Linked DNA regions of Coturnix japonica. The protein of the gene in region 2 interacts with the protein of the main gene of each other region in a pairwise test. Links are inferred from orthologs where the notes say so. Each region holds a gene or a part of one and is shown on either strand. Other genes may lie near its edges. The genes, in order: ZMYND11 and ZHX1.

Region 1 (4,422 bases), about 120 Mb from region 2:
CTTTGGCACACTATATAAAGGGCCAAGGCAAACTTAGCACACCGCTGAAGATTAAATGCTCTCACCCAGTACCTGCACACTCAGAACTCCAGTTACAGCTGAGTTTATCATGAGTTAATTTCCATCATGCAATTCAGCTCACAAGAAGTCATTTTTCTTCAGGTAAAGAAGTGTTCCAGAAGACTCCCTCTGTCCTTGGGTGCTGCCTCTGACACCACATTGCAGGTGCCTCTCCACGACCGCACAAACCACAGCACAGCCAACAAACAGCCATTGATACAGTAACCTTTTTACAGTAACCTTTTACTCCATTTGTATATCTAAACTCACAATCAGAAGGATGAAGTGCTCTCCGCAGTACTACCTACCCCATCCTGCCCCCCCACTGCATATCTGCAGGACAGAGAATGTTTGTTTAGGCATGAAAAAGCTGGCGGTAACCAACAATCCACACGGGGAATTATTTTGAGGGTACTTTCACTTTTGTATCAAACAGCAGTCAGCAAGTAGCTGACTTCCCTAAAGGCGTTCTGTAGCATGTGCTCAACGTTGGTAAGATTTAGAAGAGGAAAAAAAAATGGAAGAAAGAAAAATGTGTGGAAAGATGCCAGGTCCTTCCCACTGAAGGATGAGGCCTTAACAGCCCAAAGGACTACAATCTGAACCACAAGCCGGCACTTCCACTCCCACTCTAACCCCAACACCTGTCCCAGTGCTCACCCCAGGTCAATTCAGCAATTTCCTACCATGAATTGCAACAGAAGTGCAAGAAAAGAAAAGAAAACAAAGCATCACTGAGACAAGAAAGCATTTTCTACCTTCTGTCCTCTTCACTGCAGCAAGATCATATAGAACTTCTTCACAGCAAATAGTAATACTCCTGTGGTACAGACATTGTGGTAGACAATTCAAGGACATTACCTACCGAATTATGCAATCATAAAACCAACCAGTGCCAAATTAAAGAGTTTTTTTCTTAATCCCTTTTCCTCTCCTTAAGTCACCCCTTGCTGCAGCACCTGCACTTGCCACTTGTGCAAACAAACAAACAAAATATAATCCCAAATTGAACTTGCTGCTTTCAGGACAGGACCAAAACAGAGGCACAAAGTTTTCCAACTCCTTAATATTTTACAGGAGGACTTTTTTATGGCACACTGGGAAGATCAGTAAAGCTCCTGATCATCCCTGCTATGGGAAACCCCCCTCACACATGCTTTCATCTATTCCTCATAAAAGAAAGGCTATGAATAGGCCTCTGGACAATCCCCGCGGCTGGGGATGGAGGACAACGCCTCAGAAAGTGAACAGAAAGGAGTTACGCAGAGACAAGGCTTAGGGGAACGGGGGTGTGTGCCTAACAAACAACAAAAACCACTAAAAATGCCGCCAAAAGCAAGTCTAGGCTTTTTCCTTAAGCCCGACCGCCGAGGCCCGCGGGGCCCTATCACGCCGGGCGAACTATTTCTGGAGGGAGCGCGAAGGCTCCGCACGGCCATCACAAGAGACGGGGGAGGGGGGAAGGGGAAAGGGGGAGCGCAGAAACGGGCCGCTCGTCTCTACCCCGGGGCGGATTTGCGGCCTCGGGGCTGCGCTGGAGGCCGGGCGGTGCGGATTGTACGGCCGAGCCCCCGCCTGTCCCTTCGGCTCCACGGCCGTTCTCTCCGCGGGGGCGGTTCAGCCCTCCCGCAGCCGCCCGGAGGCATAAGGGCCGGGGCTCCGAGTTCGCCCCCTTTCTCGTCCCTTTCTCCTCCCCACCCCCGCGGGGAAGGGGAGTCGCGGTCCCGCTCCCGGCCTGCGAGGAGCCGCCGTCTCTCTCGGCGCTGTCGAGCAGCTGCCATTACTCGGGCCGAGACCCGTCCTCCGAATAGGCATCCCCCACCTCAGCGAGGAAATGCGGGGGTTGTGGGGTAGAAGTGAGAGAAAAGGAGAAAGGAGGGGAGCGCGGCGAACCGAGCGGGAGCCACGCGTGGGGGAGCGGAGCCGAGGGGCGGCGGGGCCGAGGCCGGGCTGCGCCACACCCCGCTCGGTCTCGCCTCTCACGCGAGTCCCCGGCTCCTCCGCGCCCTGCAGGCCCCTCGCGGAGCGTTTCGATGTGTCCCTCTCCCCACCCATCGGCTCCCGGCTCTGCACGGCCCGATCCGGGCGGGCTGCAACTCGGGGAAACCGCCGGCTTTTGGCGGCCGAAATACGAGCGGGGAAAAGGTGTAGGGACAAAAATAATCGCCGTTAATAATCACACGCGCTCTGCCGCCGTCCCCTTCTCCTCCTCGATTTCCAAGCGGGTTGCGATAATCCTTCCCACTCCGAAAAATATTATATATATACATACATACATATATATAATCCCGCCTTCCATCCCCCCACCCCCCGCGGCCCCACACATTTTATTATTAAGTATAATTGCTCCCCCCTCCCCATATGCTCCCCCACGGGGCAGGATTGCCCCCTCCCCTCGTGCCCAGCCCTTCCCCTGTCCCCTCTCCCCCATCTCCTTGGAACAGTGTGTACATGATTTTGTAGTTTTTTTAAGGCGCCATGTTTATAATCCTCCATCATATTAAAAAAAAAAATCCACCCAGCATGAGACGCAGTGCCACGAGCACCCCAAAGCCAGGGAGGCAGACACAGAAATATCCACGGGGCTGTAAATTCAACACCCCCCCTCCCGCACACACACACACACACACACACACACACCCCTCCTTCCCAGACTTAAAAGTCTCTCTCACCTTGTGCTGCTGCCGCTGCTTCTGCTGCTGCAGGGGGGGCGAAGTTAAGCCAGGGGAAACTTTTCAATCCCTTCCCCAGGCCGCTGCTGCCTCCTCCTTCCACATATTTTTCCCCTCAGAGTTTTATTGTGTCTGAATTTTCTCTCTCGCTCTCCTCTTCTGTCTGTCCACAGTTCAGGTTTCTGGGGTAAACAGGGTTTAGGATGGTGCTAGGGATATTTGGGAGAAGGAGAACTCTAGTGGTGTCTACTGGAGTTGCTGTTTGTTTCTTTTATTATTTTTTTTTTATACACGTGAAACAGATCTTTAACTATTTATTATAAATGTATTCTATCACGCTGTTAGTTCTGGATCCTCTCTTAATGCAGGGGAAATATGTACCAGTTACCCGATTCTGCTACATGCCAGTTCCTCTTATTGTGAAGTCCAGCTTGGAGAAATAATGGAAAACATTTTCAAAAGTGAATATTCATCTCGAGCAACAGAAACTAAACCACACAGAGTCATTGTTCTCTCCCAGAACTGGCTGGCTGTATGTTCAAAGCTGTGGATCTTTCACTGCAGGATTAGGAGTTCTATAGTACTATGAAATATACAATTACATAGGCATAAATATATATATATGGTTGTAGCATGAGAACACAGACATTTTATCCTGTTTTTAAATAAACTATTTGTTAAATATTTTTATACATGACAAAAAAAAAAAAAAGAAAAGAAAAGAAAAAAGAAAAAAAAACCCACAAACTAATAAAGTTTCTGAAGCATTTAAATAATCAAGTAATTGAAAATAACATATTTTGTAATTAATGAATCTTGATCTGCAATGTGGCATATTTTATAGATTTTATATATTTTTAACTGTAAGTTTCATTCTGTGAAAATTTAGGCATGCAAATAATTGCACTTACATGAGAAGTCATTAGCATCATTACAGTAGTTTTTGGCTGCTAAGCATTAAAAAGATGCATCCATTCTGCCCATGCAGTCAAAGGTTTAACACAATTGACATGCTGAGCAGTTAAAGTTTCTCCAGTGTGTTTAGTAAATGAGATTTTTAGTGGTGTCTCAAACCACACTTCTTTGAGACTGATACATAGAGCTCTTCTTTTCAGAACTAAAGTGCAAATAAGAGTTTGTTGCGCAGCAGTGATAAAGCTTTACTCCTATTGTGTATTTAAACATGAAGGAACATTTTACTTTATCTAAAATAAATAGATAGGAATAAAAGTGCTGGTAATCAGCTTTCAAAGCTACCTGAGGGGTTGGGCAGCTACCGAACAGTGATAATGTAGTTTATTAACTTCATCATATTGTTTTTAATAACAAATAACAAATGAAATTTACAGGCTCTTTTGTGTTGTTGTTGTTTAAGCAAGAAGGGTACAATTACAGAAAGGCTACCTTGCGTTAAACATTTAGTTGTGATGCTTGGCTCTGAATTTGTTCAGACATGTAATTTAAAGAAAAAAGACACTGGATTGAAATATATGCCAAATTTCCATGGGATATTGGTGGCTTGGTTCCCTTAGGTTCCTTTGAAACCTCTGTACAAGTTGCATCTAAGCTGTATTTCTATAAGTAAAGACGTTTGGGTCCTTATCGTTTCTACTGTTTCAACTATTCATTCAAGCTAACAGGTTTGTGCAAGTGGGTGTGTTTAAGGCATACCATTTTTTTTGCACCCAGA
Region 2 (4,429 bases):
ATGTCGTGGGGGTTCCCAAGTATCACTATCATCCGTTTCCTCTTCATCTTCCTGATCTTCCAGCATTTCATCTTCCTCCTCGTTTTCCTCAAACAGCTCTATTCCGAGTTCTAATCTTCTCTGCCTTTCTGCAAACCACTCTCTGACCTGCTCATACCCCATGTGAGATTTAGCTACGAGTTCATCAAGGTCTTGCTCATTAAGGAATTTGTGCTTCATATAGTAGTCCTTCAAGATTGCTGTTCCAGTTTTGAATTTTATGACAGACACACCTCGGTCCCAGCAATTTAACCTCTTGCTTCCCCGAGGCCTCCCTCGAGGCCTCCCTCTTCCCCGCCCCTTTGGTCTTCCTCTCCCTCTCTTCCTTGAAAAGCCTTGGCCATTCAGACTGTTTGCATTGGCACTCTGGTAGTAATAATACCACTTCAATCCCCCATTTTTCCAGGCATAGCGAGTATCTCCAAACCAACTCACAATTTCTGATCTCGGGAGCCCCGTTTCTTCTGCCAGCTTGTTGTACTCCTGTGGAGATGGCCACTGAGTACGGACAAAAGAACTTTTAAGCATGTGCAACTGCTCTGGTGATTTTTTGCCTACTTTGCTTGAAGCGGTGCTCCCTGATTTTGACCCTGCTGCTCCATCTCCCACAGATGTTTCTCCCGCAGCTTCCTCTTTTGAGCTGCTGGCATTGCTCTCATTCATCTCAGTCCCCTCCTCCTTTAAGACAGTAGATTTCCTTCTTTCTGTAAACCAGGCATCAATCTCTCTCCTGGTAAGTTTGGTTTGGGCTCTTAACCTATTCATCTCTTCATCAGTAAGGACAGGATTATTAAGAAAACTTGCTTGGAGGACTTGCAACTGCTCGGCTGTCTTCTCTTTGAATTTCTGTGGGGTGAAGTCAGGAAATGCACTCCAGGACGACTTGTTCTGTGGAACAACTCCTGTTGGAGACTCATTCATTTCGTCACTGGAGTCAATAATGATGGTGGCACATGAGTCACTGTTGAGATGGATCCCATGGTTATTCTTTGAGTTTCTCTGATTGTAGCGTGTATCGCTGAACCACTTCTTGATCTCTCCCTTAGTCAGGCCTGTTATTTTCATAAGTCTACTAATTTCTGAATCCTGAGGAAACTGATTTTTAAGGTAGCTGACCTTTAATTCTGCCAGTTGCTCCTTTGTTTTTTTTGCTCGCATGCCAAAGTTATCGGGATTCATGTGTGCGGTTTCATTTTTGATAGGCTGAGGGGCTGGAACGGCAGCAACTTGTTTGGTTTCTGCAATAGGCTGAGCAGTGTGAATCTGACTCTTCTGTAACTGGGTTTGGTTTGGGACTCCTGCTACAGTCAAAGCTATTGGGGCTGTTACTGGTAACGTATTTGCACCTGCAACTTGAGTGAGAACAAGTCCTGGCTGACCAACTATTTGGCATGTCTGTAAAATTGAAGGTAAACCATTGCTGGCAGCGGAAATATGCGCTGGAATAACGGTAATTGTCTGTGGCACAGTATGCACTGTGCCATTAAATTGTTTCCTCCTTGCTTCCTCCACTTCCTCTGGTGTCCAGCTCACACCATGTTTCAGACGCTGGGCAGAAAACCAGATTTTAATCTGTTCCTCGGTGTACTTAGCTTGAGTGGAAAGAACAGTGATCTCTGACATGGTTGGATATGGGAATTTGTTATAGGTGTTGAGCAAAAGAGGATTGTTGTCCAAAGCAGTATTATAGGTTGGAATGCTGTTTACAGGTATCAGGACTTTGGGGATCAGGTTTGAGTTCTGTGGAGCTGTAACAGCCGTTATAACCTGTGCCACCCCAGGCTGAATCACTGGGGTCACAACCGTACTAGCTACATCGGCCGCACTGCAAGCAACCGAATGGCTCGCTTTGGACTCAGAAACTGCCAGTGGTGGGTTTTCTACTACTTCTTCAGAGTTTGGCTCATTTTCCTTTCCCTTCTCTTCACCAGGAATGCCATCGACTACATTGTGGAAAACAGCAATGCGTTTAGTCTCAGTTTTGTTTTTCATCATTTTCATAATAGGAGTTTTGCTAATGGAGATCCCAGCGGAGGGGGGCTCAGAAGGGTCAGCCTGTTCAGCATTTTCTTCTCTAACAAAACTCCCATCAAAAGTGAGATCATTTACTGTTTGTTCAAAGATTGTCTGATTATTACGTTTCACCATGGTCAACTTAAAATTCTCCTCTCCAGGGTGATACTTCAAATTATGTTCTGAGAGAGCATCGTATCTTTTGGTGAGAAAATTGCATTCTACACAGACATAGGATGAATTTAATACTACATTGGGATGTTCTGAGTCCACATGGAAAGTAAACATATTGAGATCTGGAGTCTGAAAAGAACAGTATTTACACTCATAACCACCTTCTACTTTATTTGTATTTTTCTGATTGTCTGAATCCACGTTCTCATGGACATCCTCTTCGCTTGCTATGCTCTCTGCTGTAGGATTATTATCTGCTGGCTTGACTACAGGTGGTCCTTCCTCCAAGTCTGATACCATTTCGAGATCCGGATCTTGCTCGTTGGCCAAGACCATGCACGGTGTTGTTGATTTTCGTTTACTTGCCATGCCTGTTAGGTGAAAGTGATACTGACTGGTCAGATACAGACTTAGCTTCAAGCTCTTCTTGATTAATAATAATGGCTTTTGGTACTTCAAGTCAGTTCTTGTAACGTCTCAACATTTATCCCATTAGCAGCTTTTCTTTTGTAGTGCAATCAGATTAAAAAGAGACAGTTGAGGATGAAATGTTGAGACACTGTTTTAAAGTCCACATCCACCACCTGTAGCAAAGAAGAGACAGTATAATTAGTTCAATTTAAAGAGTATCTTCTATTCTGACACACAGTATGATTTAATTCAACCCTTTGGTGTTCAATCTGCCACTGTTCACCCCTGAAACCAGCAGACCCATTCCAAGAAGAGACTGATCCTCAAGGCTAGAGTAAGAAAGGCAAATTCCAACTTACTTATTATCAGCTCAAATTTATGCAATGAATGCAACAAAAGGCATAAGACAGAGAATGGCACAGAAAATATAATCTTCTGTTTCCCTACAAATTTTGGCAGTCTTACCCTTGGACTGCTTTATCTAGGCTACAACACTCTTTCAGCTGCAATAGAAGCTCAAGTCCTTCCCATCACAAACTCAGCATGGCATCCCCGTGATGGTCTTGTCTGCTATGCCCAAGGGTGTGAAGGCTCCTAGAAAATGAACGCTTAGCATATTTTTCTACTGCATTATGTACATACATGTATGCATGCCCTGGGTCATTTCTCCCAAGTTTGAAAAGAGACGAAACAACGCCTTGTTAAGGCACTCCACAAGACAGGGATGGCAGACCTCTCTTCCTAGCTCCCCAGATGTCATTCTCCAATTGAAGGCCAATCCCAGACCAATAAATTGTTAGCATGTGGTAATTAACTACATTGTTTTCATAGCTCCGTGCATTAATGGGGACAAGACTGACCATGCAAACTTCACTAGAGAAAAGGCATTAAAGAGTGACACAGTAGGCAGAAGCCAAAGAAAATTATATATTTTCTATTCAGAATTCCTACTTCATTTATAAGAAAAAAACTACTGAAGTACAAATTAAATTTGAGGCCTACATAAATTCAGAGAATAAATATGTTCTTAAATTGCCCAGAGTGGAGTGAGCTGTTATCCCATGGGGACCACAACTAGTCTATTGGAAATGATGCACAAGCTACTGAAAAGGGTTATAAACTCTGTAACAGTTTCCTTCTTAAAACAAAATGAGACACTGATTGCTCAAGCCAGAAATCCCATAGATTCATGAATTTTTATATAGCAGAACATCACCTACTTCCCAGAGCAATGGCATGCTCAAGTGCAAAAGGAAGACTCAAGCAGCTGTTTCAGAAGGTTTATAAAGGTAACAGCATGTAACAGGTTAAAAACAGAAAGACAGCTTTGCTCATGACAGAATCTTAAAAGAAAGCAGTGTCAAAAGAAGAGTAAAGAAGTGAGAAAGGGAAAAAAATACCATTTCTGCTCCAAACACAATCTTTAATTTTGATAACGTGGACAGCAGATGCTGTTCTTAACCTCACACATTTTTTCTTCAGGCCAAAGACATTAGCGTTCATCCACAGCTATCACACAGCACTGCTCTGTAAGCTGATTTTTGAGACTGCACATCACCACAGTCATCTGCAAAATCCTCACCAAATGTCTGTAAGTGATCCTCCAAATCTATCTGTACTACTTCTGTGCACAGCCTGGCACAACGGGCTGCTTATGCCAAGGGTATGATTACACAGCATTAAGGACACTGACAGCGCTGGTAGATAAATCTTAGGTAATCATCATTTTGGAATGATAATTATTTCGTAGCACTGGACTTGAATGATGCTCTTCTTCCACAAACTAATGCTG

The links.
Region 1: the proteins of ZHX1 (region 2) and ZMYND11 interact in a two-hybrid assay, tested with the Homo sapiens proteins (2 studies listed by BioGRID and IntAct). The link is inferred for Coturnix japonica from reciprocal best matches to the Homo sapiens genes ZHX1 and ZMYND11.

The regions. Positions count from the first base shown.
Region 1 is NC_029517.1:8,806,649-8,811,070, reverse strand, and holds the start of ZMYND11 (zinc finger MYND domain-containing protein 11), read right to left. Parts: upstream 2,964-4,422; 5' UTR 2,733-2,963; intron 1-2,732. UniProt on the Homo sapiens protein: Chromatin reader that specifically recognizes and binds histone H3.3 trimethylated at 'Lys-36' (H3.3K36me3) and regulates RNA polymerase II elongation. Does not bind other histone H3 subtypes (H3.1 or H3.2).
Region 2 is NC_029517.1:124,385,168-124,389,596, forward strand, and holds the start of ZHX1 (zinc fingers and homeoboxes protein 1), read right to left. Parts: upstream 2,811-4,429; 5' UTR 2,596-2,810; coding exon 1-2,595. UniProt on the Homo sapiens protein: Acts as a transcriptional repressor. Increases DNMT3B-mediated repressive transcriptional activity when DNMT3B is tethered to DNA. May link molecule between DNMT3B and other co-repressor proteins.